Linked DNA regions of Caenorhabditis elegans. The protein of the gene in region 3 purifies or fractionates together with the protein of the main gene of each other region. This does not show direct contact. Each region holds a gene or a part of one and is shown on either strand. Other genes may lie near its edges. The genes, in order: nep-24, Y73C8B.3 and C27D8.2.

Region 1 (5,148 bases), 4.2 Mb from region 3:
GCAATTCTCCCGTACTCCGGATCGTCATACTCAGTATATTGATCTTCCAGGCATTTCACCCTCTTTTCGTACTCCTCTGTCTCCTTCGGTGTTAGCCAAACTTCTGTTGTACCAGTCATTATATCCATCAAATGCGGGCTGAAAGTGTGTCCCATTTCATGAGCAAGTGTGTTCGAAGTGAATGCGATGTTTGCATAGTCCGGGAAACTAGAGTCGAAAAATGGATCATCGAAGAATGGGGCAAAGATCACTGCAAATATATAATTATGATAATTAATTATCTTGCAAGTTTACTTAGATTATTATCATTCGCGTTATACATGGCATTAGTCATAAGTCCCGGGAACAATGGATAGTACGGCACTTCTCCGGTATAATAGTCCATCTCTTGTTCACGCATGAATCGATTGATTTTTCTGACAACCGTGTAATAAGTGTCAGATGAAGACAGATTGAGCTAAAATTGAATTATCAAGCCCTGATTTCTAGGAGGTCTACTCACATGTTCGAATAGTCCATCCAGTTTTCCCGGTGGATCAAAATAGTCTGGATATCCAATTACCATATTCATACTGCTGACTCTATCCATCGCGATTTTCTTCGATTTAATGCTCATCCAATCAGTTGCGCCGATGATCTTCAACAGTTGAACTTGGGTGGCTTCAGTCAATTTGGTGATTTTCTTCCGATTCTCCTTACTTATAAAGTTGCGATAGAATGCACGAAGAGCAGCACGAGGGAGAAAGTTGATGACTTTCTAAATAAATTTTTCGAAAGAAAAAAAAATCATAGTACTCTACCTGTTCGCAAAATGCCGATGGGGAACCATATGTCAGGTCTGCGATAGACGTATCGATGAATTTGAAGATCAAGTAGTTGGCCAATGCTCTTTTAGAAGTGTTCCGAATGATTGTTTCAAGCTATAAGGAGAATATCTTCCGGAGAGTCGAAATATAGTGCTTTGGAGGCAGGCGCGGTTTCAGGGTCTGACGCCTGCCTCTCACCTTATTTTAGCGAGATAGGAAAGACACAATAAAGTGTGAAAAGTGGCTCTCGGGTTCTGCGCGCGAGGCAGGCGGAGGACGGGGGCCTGACGCCGGCCCGCCTCCCGCCGACCTCTCGCCTCATAATGACAAGAAATGAAAGACACCACATAGTGCTAAATGTGGCTCTTTTGCAGCGGCCGACACTTTTTGGGTTTCGCGCCGCACAATACAAGAGGCGCGGCAGGCAGAGGCAGGCGCTTTGGCGCCTACATGGAAGCCCTATCAAAATATAATGCTTACATTATTATTTTTTCCAAAAAACAGCGAGGTGTTGGTTAGGTACATAATCTGATACACTTCCGGGAATAAAGTTCTTTTGTCGGGGCTCATCATTTCCAAGACGAGCCTTGAAAAATTCACACTTGACACAAAATCTGATCGCTCAGAAAAAATATATCCTGGTTGAACTGTGTTGAACTTGTGCTGGCTTAACGCCTTCTCCAAATTAACATACTCTGCCAAATCGTCTAGAAGCTTCTTATTGTTCGTCTGAACAGAATTAGCTTTCAGAATCTCGGAAATTGTCTGAAAATTCAAATTTTTAAGGTGCAAAATGTATAAAATTGTATCCGAAACCTTTCCGAGATCTACGTTGTGACGCCAAGCTGCTTCTGGGCCTATAGCAAAATTTCGAACGTTTACATACCGTGCCATTTGAAATAGTCCAAAATTTTTTCTTCCCAACCTCACTAGATTAACAAGGAAATCATTCAGATCGAATTTCGACTCATCCCACTTATCATCCACCACTGGCCAAGCCCCAATGCTCTGAATATCTTGGAAAATGTCCTGAAGAGCTTTGTTACGACTGGCTGTGGAATTCTGAAAATTAAATTTTGCTTTTAAAATTTTGAAAAAAAACTTACTTTCTCCAAGGTTTTACACGCTTTATACAAGGTTCTCATAGCATTCTCCGACTTCGATCTTGACGTCTCGTTCTTTTTTAGAAATCCTGAAACAGGAACTAAATTACAGAAAAGAATAAAAGCTAAAGCTCACTTTTCATTATATTATTGATGGTTTTTGTTTTTTTCGTGTAAATATCTTCCGTTTCGTGCTCATGCTCTCTCCCGCAAGCGAATTGGTGGAAGTTGTCACACGGATCAACTGATGGGTCGTGGTAGTTGTGCTGGAAGTTTGATATAGTTGGAAACCAGAGTGCTAGGAACTTACCAACATGTGAGCAAGAGTGATGCATGCTGGAGTATTACAGACATTTCGGGTAGCAGGAGTTGTTGCTCCGATGGCGAGTGGAGCAGTACAGGTGAGAAGAAGAAGAAGCATAAATCCTGGCAGCTTTTCCTTGGCTTTTTGTAGACTCATTATCTGAAATTATATGTTACAAGCAGTAAGAATATAAAAACGACACAAACTGAAATAGAATACATGAAACAGAAAAAAAGTTTGTCAAAAAATAAATGTTTTGGTGAACAGTAACGTATCAATGATTCAATTCAAACATGTCAAACAAAAGACAAACCACCTGTTGTCACCGATCAACATTCGTATTTGATCAGAAATCTGAGCTGATTCATTAAATGGTATCTCTTTTCTGAACAAAATGATGAGAATGTTACTATAAATTAAAACAAGAAATCAGGGAGGAATCAAGTTCATTTCTAGTAAAAACCTAAAACACAAGTTCAGAACATATCACACTTCTTTCTCGGATTCATTGGAGATCCCGTCGGGCAGTTGAATGCTCTGGCAAACTCTGGAAGATTCGCATAGACTCCATTCACACGGAATGCTTTCCGAGGATGAGAACTTTCGATAGACCCTTTCAAATCACGCATCGCATGAGGGGTGCAGTGTGTCTGAAATAGATACTTTCAGAAAAAACTGCTAATATTAGTTTCAAAGCACCCGACATCTAATGGTCCCGCTTTATGTCGGCTGTTGAATGGCTAGACAACACTGTACCAAAGTGTCGACCAATCAGCGATGAGGGCGCGTGCTGATTGGTCGACATGGACTCACCAGGGCTCCAACACGGAAATACAGTTGGTCAATGTCATAGTCTTCAAATCCAATAATCCTTGTCGCATTTGTCAAGTCAAGACTTTTAAACATTTTCCAAGAAACCTCCCGTCCGATATTATCCGCCACAAGCTCATCGATCACTTTGCCGCCGTCAAACTGAATTTCTCGTTGAAAAATCATTTTTCAAGATCACCTAGTTTCACTTACAACTCGTCCAAAATCTGGATCATCATATTCACTGTACTGATTTGCCAGGCACTGCGCCCTGCTCTCGTATTCTGCAAGTTCTTCCGGTTTCATCCACACTTCCCGTCCTCTGACAGTTCTCAAAATTGCGTGTGGACCAAATGCGTGACCCATTTCATGACCAATTATGTTCCCAGACATGGCAATGTTCACATAATCGGGGTAGGTCGAGTCAAACATTGGATCATCAAAGAATGGAGCAAGGAAGTCTGGAAATTCTTTGAAAATTAGGTTAAAAGCCAATAGTACTTACTCAGCTGATTTCCGGGAATATAGTAGTAGGCATTCATTTCAAAAACGCGTAAATCTGGATCCAGAGGTGTCTCTTCTGCGAAATAATCCATTTTTTGTTCAACAAAATACCTTTCGAGCTTGTTGAGAGCTGTGTAGTACGTGTCAGATGAGTCGAGATTTAGCTAAAAAAATTAAGTAAATTAGGCATAAGTTTTCACTACTTACATTTTTAAACATGCCATCCAAAGTGCCCGGTGGCTCGAAAAAGTCCGGATACCCAATCATCTTTCCCATCGCATTAATTTTGTCTAGAGCAAGTTGTTTGGATTCTGCCTTTAGCCACGTGGAGTTCTGAACCAAAGTGTGAAGAGCGATTCGAGTTTTTTCGGCCAGCTGGGTGATCAGGTCTCGGTTCTCTTTGTCGACGTAATTGCGAATGAAGACTCGGAGAGATGCACGAGGAAGGTATGTGATGACTTTCTAAAAAAATATAGGATTTTTTGTACAGCCAATATTATCCGCCGACATCTCACGGGTACCGCATCCCACTAAGATTATCACGATGTAGGTAGGCGCTGAACCCGTGAGGTGTCGGTGGCTGTTATTTGCTTGGGGTCCCGATTTAGTTGCCAACCCAGAAAACGACCCAAAAACGGTGTGACCTAATTTTTGGGATTTGTTTTGCAGTTTTTCTAATTTCAAATGTACGTGTTGTCTTTCGTTCGAGTCGTTTGAGGTTGTGCAGCAGCCGACGCCTACCGGGCTGCAATACTAGCTGTGCTGTAGCGGATCCCGGCAGACGTCGGGCGCTTCTAAATTCATGAAACATGAGACAACTCCTGGCGACATTAGGGGGAAGGTATGCGATGACTTCGAAAAAAAAGGAGTTTCGTACATCGTGGCATTTACGTACGTACAAATCCATAAGACTGAGCCCTTTTTTTCCCGGAAATTCACGGAGAAAATGCTAAAATCGCAACCCCAACCAGTATCATCCGCCGACATCTCACGGGTACCGCACCCCTCTGTGTCTACCTCGTAGGCGCGGAACCCGTGAGGTGTCGGCGGCTGTGCAGTCCTTTTGAGATTGTGCAGCAGCCGACGCCCACCCCGGCTGCAATACTAGCTGTGTTTTAGCGGATCCCGGTAGACGTCGGGCGCTTCAAAATTCATGAAACATGTGACAACTCCTGCATTTCAAAAAAGGAATATTGTGAAGCAGCCGACATAAATTGGGCCCAACTTACATCTTCACAAGTGTTTCCTTTTTGAGAAGTTGTTTCGAAAACCAGATGGTCCAATGAACTGTCAATAAAGTTGAAGATCAAATAATTTGCCAGTGTTCGCTTGGGTGTGTCAAGGATGATTGCTTCCAGCTGAAAATTATTATTTCTACAAATCTAGATAAAGAATTTTCTTGTAACGCTGTGAGCTTTGAGCACAAGCCCATTCCACCCAACTCACATTCATATTCTCATCGTTGAACAATGTCTGATTCAGTACACTAGTCTTGAGCTCAATCTTCGGCATCAAGTGCTCCTTTCCCGGGCTGATCATTGCTTTGACAAGCCCCATAAAGTCCACACTTGGCACCAGATCATCAAGCACGGCGGGCTTCATTTTATCCATATTGTCCAAG
Region 2 (5,148 bases), on a different chromosome or scaffold from region 3:
ATTGTAACTTTTTGAACCATAAATAGCTTTTCCAATTTCCAGTAATGAAATCGGTCGGATTTAAAATTCAAGACGGAGAGGAAGCCGTGGCGGTTATTCGAGCAATTATGAACTGTGACCTGGAAAAGCAACTGGAATACATTCTGAAATTGAATGAACAGCCCACAAAAACTATGATCACTTTTGGGGGAAGCGATCATTTAATTGAAAAGGAAATTGTTTTTGAAGCACTCAAAAAGTATCAGGGACTCGCGCATTTTGTAAGTTTTGTGATAGAAAAACTTGAAAAATTGGAAGGAATTTCAGAATTTCAAAGCGAACATCACAGAATCTGAAAAGCAGAAAATAATGGAGAGTTTCAAAAATCAAAAAGGAACATCTGTATTTATTGCAAAGGATAACCATTTTCAAAATAAGAAGCGGGCGGATTTATTGGCAGATGCTGCTAGATCAATGTTATTGAATTAGTATTATAAATAGTTTTTCAATTTTTTTTTGAATTATTCATTGAATTGTGTTATCAATAATAATAACTTATTATCAAAGCGTTAATTCTTAAAACAATTTCCTTTTGTGAGTCCTGCGCCGATTGATTATGTGAGCAAATTGTAAAAAATGCGTTCTTCCAACCTGTACTGCTGCAAGGGAACACAAATCCCTGTATTTGCATAGTGACAATGCCTCCCCTTCTTCGAGAGGAAAAGGTCACTCTCAATAGAGCGCGCTTGCTTACGATTACCCTCAATTTTACTTCCTTTTTCGACCTTTGAGATTCCACGAATAACACGGTTTATTCGAGTTCTTTATTGATTTTTTTGCAAAGAAATTAAATTATTTTGTCGAGTTTAAAAAATATACATATTTTACGCTTTAAAAATTTCATTTCTTATTTTTAAAATTTAATGTCAAAACTAATTATTGTACCGTTTTCTTTAATCAATACAATTTCAAGAATGACGGAGGTCCCCAGAGCACGAATAAGTGAGCCCAAGCTTTTGAAGAAGCTAGTGAAATTTCAAGCGGAAAATGAACAATTTGTGGAGTTGGAGGCGGTTTATGAGGTGTGGTTCGAAGTTTTACTTTAATCTAGTTTTTTTTCTGGATATTTGAACCAGGGCGGGCGGCAAACGACCTTTTCCGGCAAATCGGTAAATTGCCGGAATTGAAATTTTCGGCAAACCGGCAAATTGCCAATTTTTTTTTGGAAATCTCAGAATTTCAAATTTAATCGGCAAAAATTGTACGCATCCTAAGAATGCTTCTACATCTATTTTGAAAAATAAGCAAATTCTATGAAAATATCCAAAGAAAACGGGGAAAATTTTCAAAAAGGCACAGTTTTAAGTCCTATAAAAATCCCTCTGAAAACTTCTGGCAAGTTGAGGTTTGGCAAACAACAAATCAGCAATTTGCCGAAAATCAAAACTCCGGCAAGTCGGCAAACCGGTATTTTGCCAATTTGCCAAATTTGCCTACTAAAAAATTTGCCCCCCTAATATTAACTTTTCAAATTCAGGACTCTATCACTTCCGGCTCCCCGTTCGGTACTGTAGTTGCTTTCCACGGCTCCCCTGGGTCTCACAACGATTTCAAGTACATTCGGAGCAAGCTGGATGATCTGAATATTCGATTTATTGGAGTCAATTATCCGGGATTTTCAAATACGCCTGAATATGAAGGTCAACAACACGCAAATCCGGAACGCCAAAACTTCTCCAACGCTTTGCTAGATGAGCTGAAAATCGACGGAAAAATTATCTACATGGGACACAGTCGTGGATGCGAGAATGCTCTGCAAACAGCCGTCGGACGTGAAGCTCACGGTCTTGTGCTCATAAATCCGACCGGGTTCAGACATCATCAGGGCATTAGGCCATTTTATAGGCTGGAGTATTTGGACTGGATGTATGGGCTTTTGCCAAGTTTTTTGGGAAATTCGATGATTTTAGGAAGTAAGTAAAAATATTTATTTAGTTCATTTCAAATTTTAAAAATATTTCAGTCTACAAAGCTATCGGCTTCAAAGTGAAATCTGGAGAGGAGGCCATGTGCGCAATGCGGTCCGTGATGAGGATGTCGCTGGAAGATCAAATTGAGTACATTGAGAAGTTGAATCAGAAGCATGTAAGTTTTCAAAAAAGCCTATCGTCTACGCCCTTCTAATTTTGAAAATTTTCAGACCAAAAAACTAATCGTCTTCGGCGGAAACGACCACTTGGTAGAAGAAGAAATTGTCCTAGAGAAATTGGAGAAACATGACGGTTTGGAGCATTTTGTGAGTTAACTTCTAGCATCTCTACCATAAACTTAAAATTTTTCAGAGATTTGAAGATGGAATTTCTGAAGAGGAAAAGTCAAAAATTATGGAATGTTTTACGGGAAATCAACTTGGTGCATCAGTTTTCGTGGCGAAGGACACCCATTTTCAGAATAAATCACAGGCAGAGCTGGTCGCTGAGTCCTGCAAGAAAATGTTGGATGCATAATTTTTTCGAACGTTTACTGGACTTTTACAAGCATAAATTAATTTTTCCTATACTCCCGACGGGGTCTAGACAACTAAAATCCTTATCAATTTTGACATATTTTCCGCTACAAATGATATCAACTACACAGACGACAATGTGGCCAACACTACACCCATCTATCTCCGAACGCTTTTTTCTTACGTCTCTGCGCCTCATCTAACCCCTACACTATCTCTTCAGTTCACCCAACCTTCTCTCTGCGCTCTCTTTAAATACGTGAACTCTCGCATTGTCCCCATCATTTCCTAGTAGAAAAAAATCCACTAAAATTTATTTTTCCAAATAGTTTTAGTGTAATGATAACGTCGAAAGTGTTTCTGGCGGCCTCTGCTGGCCCATCAAAAGTTTTTCAAAAAATGACGGAACCAAATTTGTGCCGAAAATTGGTAAAGTTTGAGACGGAAAGCGGGAAGAAAGTGGAGCTGGATGCGGTTTATGAGGTTAGTTTTTTTTTTTTGGATTTTTGCAATAGGGTACCCGGTCTCGACACGACAAGTTTTTGTTAAATTCAAAAAGGTGTGCGCCTTTAAAAAGTACTGTAATTTCAAACTTTTTTTCTGCTAAGTTTCATCAATTTTTCATAGTTTTCTTCACAATTTGTTCAGAAGTTTAAATATTGTTTATTGTATTATTAAAGTTTTTCGAACAAAAAAGTATACTTTTCTGCCGAAAAACTATAAAAAAGCAATGAAACTTCAACTGAAACACGAGTTAGAAATTACAGTACTTTTTAAAGGCGCACATTTTGCATTTACCAAAAATTTGTCGTGTCGAGACCAGATACCGTATTATTGCAAAATTTAGTATTCTTGATAGTACTGGAAAACTTGCCAAAAAGCAAAATTATCAGCTAAAAGTTAAAAAAAAAATTAATTTTGTGTTCAAATTTTCTGATGGAATGATTTTTTTAAATTATGAAACGAGTAGAGCCAATTTTATATATTTAGGACTCCCTTACTTCCGGCTCACCATTTGGTACTGTAGTTGCTTTCCACGGCTCCCCTGGGTCTCACAACGATTTCAAGTACATTCGGAGCAAGCTGGATGACTTAAAAATTAGATTCATTGGAGTCAATTATCCAGGCTTCACGTTTACAAATGGTGAGTTGATTTTCTTTAATTCAAAAAAATTATTTTAAAATAATTAAATTTTGTAGAGTACCCCGACCAAAAACATATCAACATCGAACGGCAAAACTATTCGAATGCACTGCTGGATGAGCTAGGCATCGATGGAAAAATGGCGTACATCGGTCACAGTCGTGGATGTGAGAATGCTCTTCAGACGGCTGTGGCTCGAGATGCTCACGGAATTGTGCTCATCAATCCGACTGGTCTGAGGATTCATAAGGGAATCAACCCGATTTCTAGAATGACAACTGTGGATTCAATTTATAAAATGCTACCATTATTCCTCGGAAATGCCATGATGTTGGGCGGTGAGTTTTTTTTTTGAAAATTTGAAAACCTCATACTAAAACCCTTCTGAATTTCAGTATATAAAGCTTTTGGATTCAAAATCACTACTGGCGAGGAGGCCGTCAACTCGATGAGATCTATGATAAATGTCTCGTTGGGAGGACAACTTGAGTTTATTGAAAAGACAAACGATATGAATGTAAGATTGATAGTTCATTATTTTGAAGCTTCATCTTCACAATTTTTAGGTCAAAAAACTGATTGTTTTCGCCGGAAAAGATCACCTCGTCGAGGAGGAAATTGTTTTTGAGACGCTCGAGAAGCATGAAGGATTGCAGCATTTTGTAAGTTTTTTTTTTGAAAAGTAGCTTTATTATACAATACAATTATTTTCAGAACATTGACAAAGAGATCTCAGAAGCCGAGAGACTGAAAATCCTTGATTCCTTTACGGGGACTCAACGTGGAGCTTCGGTTTTCGTCGCGCAGGACAATCATTTTCAGAACAAATCGAGAGCCGGCCTGGTAGCTGAGGCTTGTAAAGCCATGTTTGAAAATGAGAAAACGAGTAGAAATAAATTGTGAATCATGTAATGAAGACTTAGAAGTGATTTTTTGAATTTTTTGTGTATTAAAAAAAAAACTAAAAGTGATTTTTTGCAAGTTTTGAAAGTTTTTTCCCGAAAATAAAGTTTATTCAGGGGTGGGCGAAAATTTTTATTTTTTGACAATTTACCGATTTGCCGATTTGCCGCACATCAATTTGCCGGAAGTTTTTGGAGGATATTTTTTATAAGAAAAAAAACTGTGCCTTTTTGAAATTTTTTTCCCGTTTTTTCTAGATATTTTCATAGAACTTGCATACTTTTCAAAATAGATGTGTTGCCGATTAAAATTGAAATTCTGAAATTTCCAAAAAAAAAATGTGCAAAACCACAATATGCCAATTTGCCGGTTTGTCGAAAGTTTTAAATGCTGAAATTTGCTGATTTGCCGATAGGCCGGAAATTTCGATTCCGACAATTTGTCGATTTGCCGATTTGCCGATTTGCCGGAAGCAATCGTTTGTCGCCCACCTATGACTCAAACCATTTTAAATTGTCCCAATATCTTGAAACATTTTTAGATCGGCCTTTTTTCCAATTTAAAAGTACTCTTAACGGCGAAATTTTGCGATATATAACTGAAAAATACGGTTAAA
Region 3 (5,148 bases):
TGTTCAGCTGGTTCATGCGTTCAATGATGATGGTGCGATCGACGGGGCTCAGGAATTTTGTGCGAATCTGAAAAATGAGAAAAATCAATCTACAGTAATCTAGCTACATCACTTACACAGGACAACAACGATGGCGCAAAAGCGTTCACATGATTTTGCCCATTCAGCCATAGAAGGATCACATCGGCCACAAACATCTCGTGTGTGACCACCAGTTCGCAGCTTGACAGGATTTGATAAAGTTGGTGGAACGGAACTTTGTGAAAATCTGGAAGAGCTACAAGCTTCTCAATGCTTTCGATGGCAAAGTTTTGCAGAGATTTTTCAGTGTCCGGGTTGACATGGGCCACGTCGCAGACGATCATCGTCTGGAGAAGATCTGCTTCGGAGGACTTGGCCGCTTCGACTATGCTCTGAAATTTAATATTTATTTTTAACCAGGAATATTTAGATGATTGTATGTAGGTTCTTACATCTTCCAGATACATCTTCAACTCCTTCATCTGGAAGGTGTGCGCCAGCGTGACCAGCTCGGTGATCGCATAGTATGTCAGATCGGACTTGATCTCCTGGTTCTGCACATAATTCACGAAAGCCATTATCGATTGATCGCTGAAGCGGTGCAAGTCGACCGTTGACATCGGGTTTCCGGCGGTTTGCTGTTGCTTGACCAGCTGAGAGCAGCGAGCAAGTTCCTCGACGGGAAGATGGTAGACCGTACGATTGCCGAGAAGGCGGACAACCTAAAAACAACAAAAAAATTACGAAAATAGTCTTAGGCTTAGGCATAGGTATATCCATGCACCAGCAGCATTTTATTAAAACTCTCTCTTACCTTCCCACCACCGGTCGCATCCTTCTTCTTTGCCTTTTTCGATATCACATTGTTATCCGATTCCGAAGACTTTAGCTTCGGAAGTCCAACTTTTTTCTTTTTCGAATCGCTGGAAGAATTTAAACTTATCAAAAAGTTACAGACTTCGCTGTGAGACCCAAAAACTCACGACGACTTTTTATCTGTTTCCATTTGAGTGACCCTTCAAAATCGTCGATTTTGCGAAAGCAAGTAAAATAGGAATGATTGAATTTTCCAAATGACATTCTCTATTGATTTTTTTTCTGTGGAACGTGGTAGATGAAACTTAAGATAATATAATTTCAACGTGTTTCAAAAATCATTTCACGGGAATTAAATTTAAATTTTTTGTGAAAAATAAAAAAAATTGATTAAGATGAAAATTGTGTGAAAAAACAAGTAACCCTTCTAAAAGCCCGCAAATTGACTCCTCCCATTTCTTGACTCTTTAAGTTTTAAATGTCCTTGAACCTCCTGCAATTTTTGCTTTAAAAAAAATTTCCTTACTAATTTCCTTGTGCCTTTTTTACAAAGAATTTTTACAATTTTTGTAGAAAAAAAAATGTTGCCTTTCGGTAATTTTTTTGGGTTCATAATTAAAATTACCAATATATCCCTCGATAGGTTTTGAATAGTAAGTACAAAAGCCTTTTTCTGAGCTACTACTTTTTTGATGTTGAATACTAAAAATGTTTCCAAAAATAGCCAAAAATCAATCAATTCGCAAAGACATAAAGAAAATCTTCTCCTCGGGGAGTACACGAGCTGCAAAGCATAACCGTGGAAGAGGTTATCCCCGGCCTCCATTTTTCAATGTGTGTTTCAACACATGTGTCTCGTACACAGCTCTGCCACTTCCAAAAAATTTCCAAAAACGTGTGTTGAACATTTTTCGAAATTACAAAAAAAGAGCAAAATGTGTTGTCAATTTGCGAATCTCTTGGAAAATGTTTTTAGAAAGCCAGAAAGTTTTCATTGTTTTCTAACGTTTTCTTTATCATCAAATAGATATCACATCAACAATCTTATTGCATCAGTAAATGAAACATACTCGTACTTCAGTATTTTTGAGTTTCTCAATTTATTTTTTTCTTGTTTTTTGTTTCAACTGTTACTGATAAAGAGGGGAGCTTTGTAGCTTTTCCAAAAAATATTTTTACTTTTCTCTATTGGTTCTTTTTATTTTTCTACATTCGAAATAGCATTTCCGTTCTCTCACAATATAATTTTTTTCAATTTACAAACAAAAAATTCTACAGGCTATGTTAGAATGACAACACCACACAAAACGATTTCCCCATTCTCTACAATTGATCATTATCAGAAGATTGTCTATGAGTTGGTAAGTTTTTTTACGTTTAGAATGGGGTTTAGATTGCACGTGGTCTAGAAAGTGTCAAAAACTCAGCCACTGGTAAAACTAAGCTTTTTGTGCATACTCGAAACTTTGAAAGAAAGAATTATATAACACATTTTTTGGTGGCCAAGTTTTGCACATTTCTAGGCCACGTCGCAAATTCTACCATTTGGGGCTCACGCTAGTGGATTTTCGTTTTCAAACGACCAATTTCCCTCTGTTCTCAGCTAATCCAGCTCAGCAAAGACCCCCAAACAGCTCAGGAAGTGACCAACATCGAGTCAAACATTGGTATCCTGCGAAATCACATCGAACAGATTCTAGAAAAACGAATAGAAGGTGAGATTTGAGTTTTGATCTTCCAAGCAAGACCCCCACGTGGGCGCGAGGGCGCCCGAATCCTTGTTTGGGTAGACGATGATTTGGGTAGAAGATACAAATGAGATAAGATTACAGGAGAAGAGAGAGAGAAAGAGAAGGGGAACGAAGACAGAGATAAAATTGACAGTGATACGCGTTTTGATTTACGATCCCAGATATTTCTAATACACATGTCGATTGTTAATAAAGAAGAGAATTGCAATCAGTAGTTGTACAAATTTCAGAAAAGGGGTTACGGGCAGAGGTACGCGGCAATTGCCAACATTGCCGATTGCCGGAAATTTGGAAAACCGGCAATTGCCGGAATATCCGATTGCAGTAAATCAAAATTGCCGGAAATATAAATTTGATACTTTTGTATAATAGATTTAGGAGCCTTAACATGCATTTTAATAAACAATTTTCTATGTTAAAGCTCCAAATGATTTAATCCTTTGTCTTTTTCTTTTGAAAAATATCTACCCGAATAATTATAAAAAAGGTGGATTTTGAATGAAAAAAGTGATTTTTTTCAATTTCCAAAATATAATTAGGTTTGCAAATTGCCGAAAATGTCCGACAATCGGCAATTCCGACAATTGCCGATTTTTCTTTTCTTCCAGCACTTCCATCAACAGACATAACCGATGATGAATTCGAAAACGAATGGGTGATCCTTGCCTGGGGACTATTGACATGCTTGTCTCGTCTACCATCAGAACCCGAACGAGATATTACTCAAAGCTTCAACCATATCCTCGTTCGTCTTGTAAACATTGCTCGTCCGATGCGAATTCCAAAAGTGTGCCCTGAAGCGAAGCAATGGTGGACACAATTTCATGAGTTGTACAATAGTTCACTTCATTATTTACATGGGTTGTACTCGCAACTGGACAATCCAAATTGTAATATTGAAATCAAGATGAGGGCTTATTTCACCAGACAGGTACGTAAAGTTTTGCTTTAAAACAAAAACTGAAAATTGAGCGGACCCACGTGGTGCCAGGCTGTCCCATTACGGTTTGATCTACAAAATTGCGGGACACTCTGACATCACGTGCGGGCCTTGTTTGGTTTCTCATAATTTTATTCCAGAAATTTTTTTTGTTATATAAGATAACTTGAAGTAATTTTAAACATAACTCCTCAAGCTTGATTGATAGAAATTATTATAATCTTTTCCAGCTCCAACCTTGCCTCGCTGCATTCCGCAGGACTTGTGCTGAAAATGCTCCGGGATTTCACTCAAGCCTCCGAAGAGCTCAAGTCAATCGACTATCAAATCAGGAAAAACTAGTCGAGCAAGACACTTATGAGATCCGGAGTTACTATTCTTCACTGGCATACACGTTGGGTCTTCTCGCTGTGAGAATTCAAGGATTCCGATATGAATGTCAAACATGCTCACAGAATACATTTGCAACGCCTGATACGTTGTGGCAGTTGTTGAATGAAGTCTTTATTACCTATGAATATGTGATGAATGATGCTCTGATGTGTAATGAGCCAAACCATTCGTCAATTATGGTCACGAATAATCTGTTCACTTTCACGTGTCACACCTTGTGTAGGGTAAGTCTTGCATTTACGAAAATTGTCATGTTGTTTATTAGATTATGTCTGAGCCTGAGCCTGAACCTAACCCTTAGCTTATACCTAAGCCTAAGCCTAGGCCTAAGTTTCAGCTTATGCTTAGGTCTAAGCCTAAGCCTGAATTTAGCTGATTGAGCTTAATTATTATCAAAATAGCAAAAATTTTCAGACGTTGATATTCGAATCATTTGACATCCAAATAGTAAGTGAAGAGACCGCATTCGCAATTCAAAACGAAATAATTCAATGTCGAATGGGAAATAGTAGTCCACGAGAGCCCAAAGTCTTCCCATCGGCAGCTTTGATTGCTATGAAACCAACTTCTGGAGTTAAAAGGAATAATGCGACGGCGAATCAAAAGGGTACCGGTGGAAATACAGCTCACAAGAAATCAGATGTGAATAGTCAGGAATTCGTGACAATTCCACCAACATTCAGTGATAATTCAAATGCGTGGCAGACAACGTATCCACATTTGTTGTGCACGACAAGGCAGAAGGTTGGTTGAAATCAATTTGACAATAGTATTTTGATTTTCTAAATCTTAAGAGCTGCAAAATTTCTCCTATAAACTTTAAAAAATATAGACAAAAATAAATCCCCAACCTCATTTCAGGACGCAGTGCTCCTTGACAGTCGTGCTGGAACAACCGGAAAGCGTCCACTATTCTATTTCTACATCCGTGCGAAAACGTGGTCACCAACGGGAAATTACATTCATGTTCGAACGCTTTCTCTTCCATTCACAATAAGCACACGAAGAAATCAGGATTGTCAGGTTCAGAGAATGAACTCTTCGTATACTGCCACGTGTTTTTGGATGTATGGAACATGCGGGATTAATGGATTGCTGTTGAATTGGAATGAAAAACGTAAGAAGTTTTCGGATATCTGAAAATATTATTCGATAAATCTCCTGTAATTCAGGCAAAATTAGATAATTGTGAGGTTACTGTAGAAGTGCTGTAGAGTAGACACCACG

Evidence for each region.
Region 1: the proteins of C27D8.2 (region 3) and nep-24 fractionate together in Caenorhabditis elegans (co-fractionation; one large-scale study listed by BioGRID). This does not show direct contact.
Region 2: the proteins of C27D8.2 (region 3) and Y73C8B.3 fractionate together in Caenorhabditis elegans (co-fractionation; one large-scale study listed by BioGRID). This does not show direct contact.

Annotation. Positions count from the first base shown.
Region 1 is NC_003282.8:16,921,613-16,926,760, reverse strand, and holds the start of nep-24 (NEPrilysin metallopeptidase family), read right to left. Parts: upstream 2,370-5,148; coding exon 2,220-2,369; intron 2,176-2,219; coding exon 2,046-2,175; intron 1,999-2,045; coding exon 1,913-1,998; intron 1,869-1,912; coding exon 1,623-1,868; intron 1,572-1,622; coding exon 1,287-1,571; intron 921-1,286; coding exon 801-920; intron 758-800; coding exon 503-757; intron 458-502; coding exon 295-457; intron 251-294; coding exon 1-250. Other genes in the region: nep-23 (NEPrilysin metallopeptidase family), read right to left, coding at 2,690-2,863, 3,027-3,185, 3,237-3,484, 3,529-3,691, 3,735-3,989, 4,757-4,885, 4,974-5,148.
Region 2 is NC_003283.11:3,190,807-3,195,954, reverse strand, and holds Y73C8B.3 (AB hydrolase-1 domain-containing protein), read left to right. Parts: upstream 1-2,717; 5' UTR 2,718-2,824; coding exon 2,825-2,968; intron 2,969-3,475; coding exon 3,476-3,629; intron 3,630-3,685; coding exon 3,686-3,967; intron 3,968-4,024; coding exon 4,025-4,146; intron 4,147-4,195; coding exon 4,196-4,291; intron 4,292-4,343; coding exon 4,344-4,532; 3' UTR 4,533-4,653; downstream 4,654-5,148. Other genes in the region: Y73C8B.1 (AB hydrolase-1 domain-containing protein), read left to right, coding at 43-260, 307-468; Y73C8B.9 (Transposase), read right to left, coding at 2,004-2,079, 2,378-2,397; Y73C8B.2 (AB hydrolase-1 domain-containing protein), read left to right, coding at 954-1,061, 1,517-1,952, 2,003-2,124, 2,180-2,275, 2,322-2,486.
Region 3 is NC_003282.8:12,708,712-12,713,859, reverse strand, and holds the start of C27D8.2 (BACK domain-containing protein), read right to left. Parts: upstream 2,644-5,148; 5' UTR 2,553-2,643; coding exon of another isoform or gene 2,441-2,552; 5' UTR 2,199-2,440; coding exon of another isoform or gene 2,127-2,198; 5' UTR 1,028-2,126; coding exon 1,005-1,027; intron 945-1,004; coding exon 836-944; intron 744-835; coding exon 474-743; intron 414-473; coding exon 117-413; intron 68-116; coding exon 1-67. Other genes in the region: C27D8.3 (Integrase catalytic domain-containing protein), read left to right, coding at 2,127-2,198, 2,441-2,552, 3,197-3,519, 3,759-4,145, 4,336-4,665, 4,783-5,038.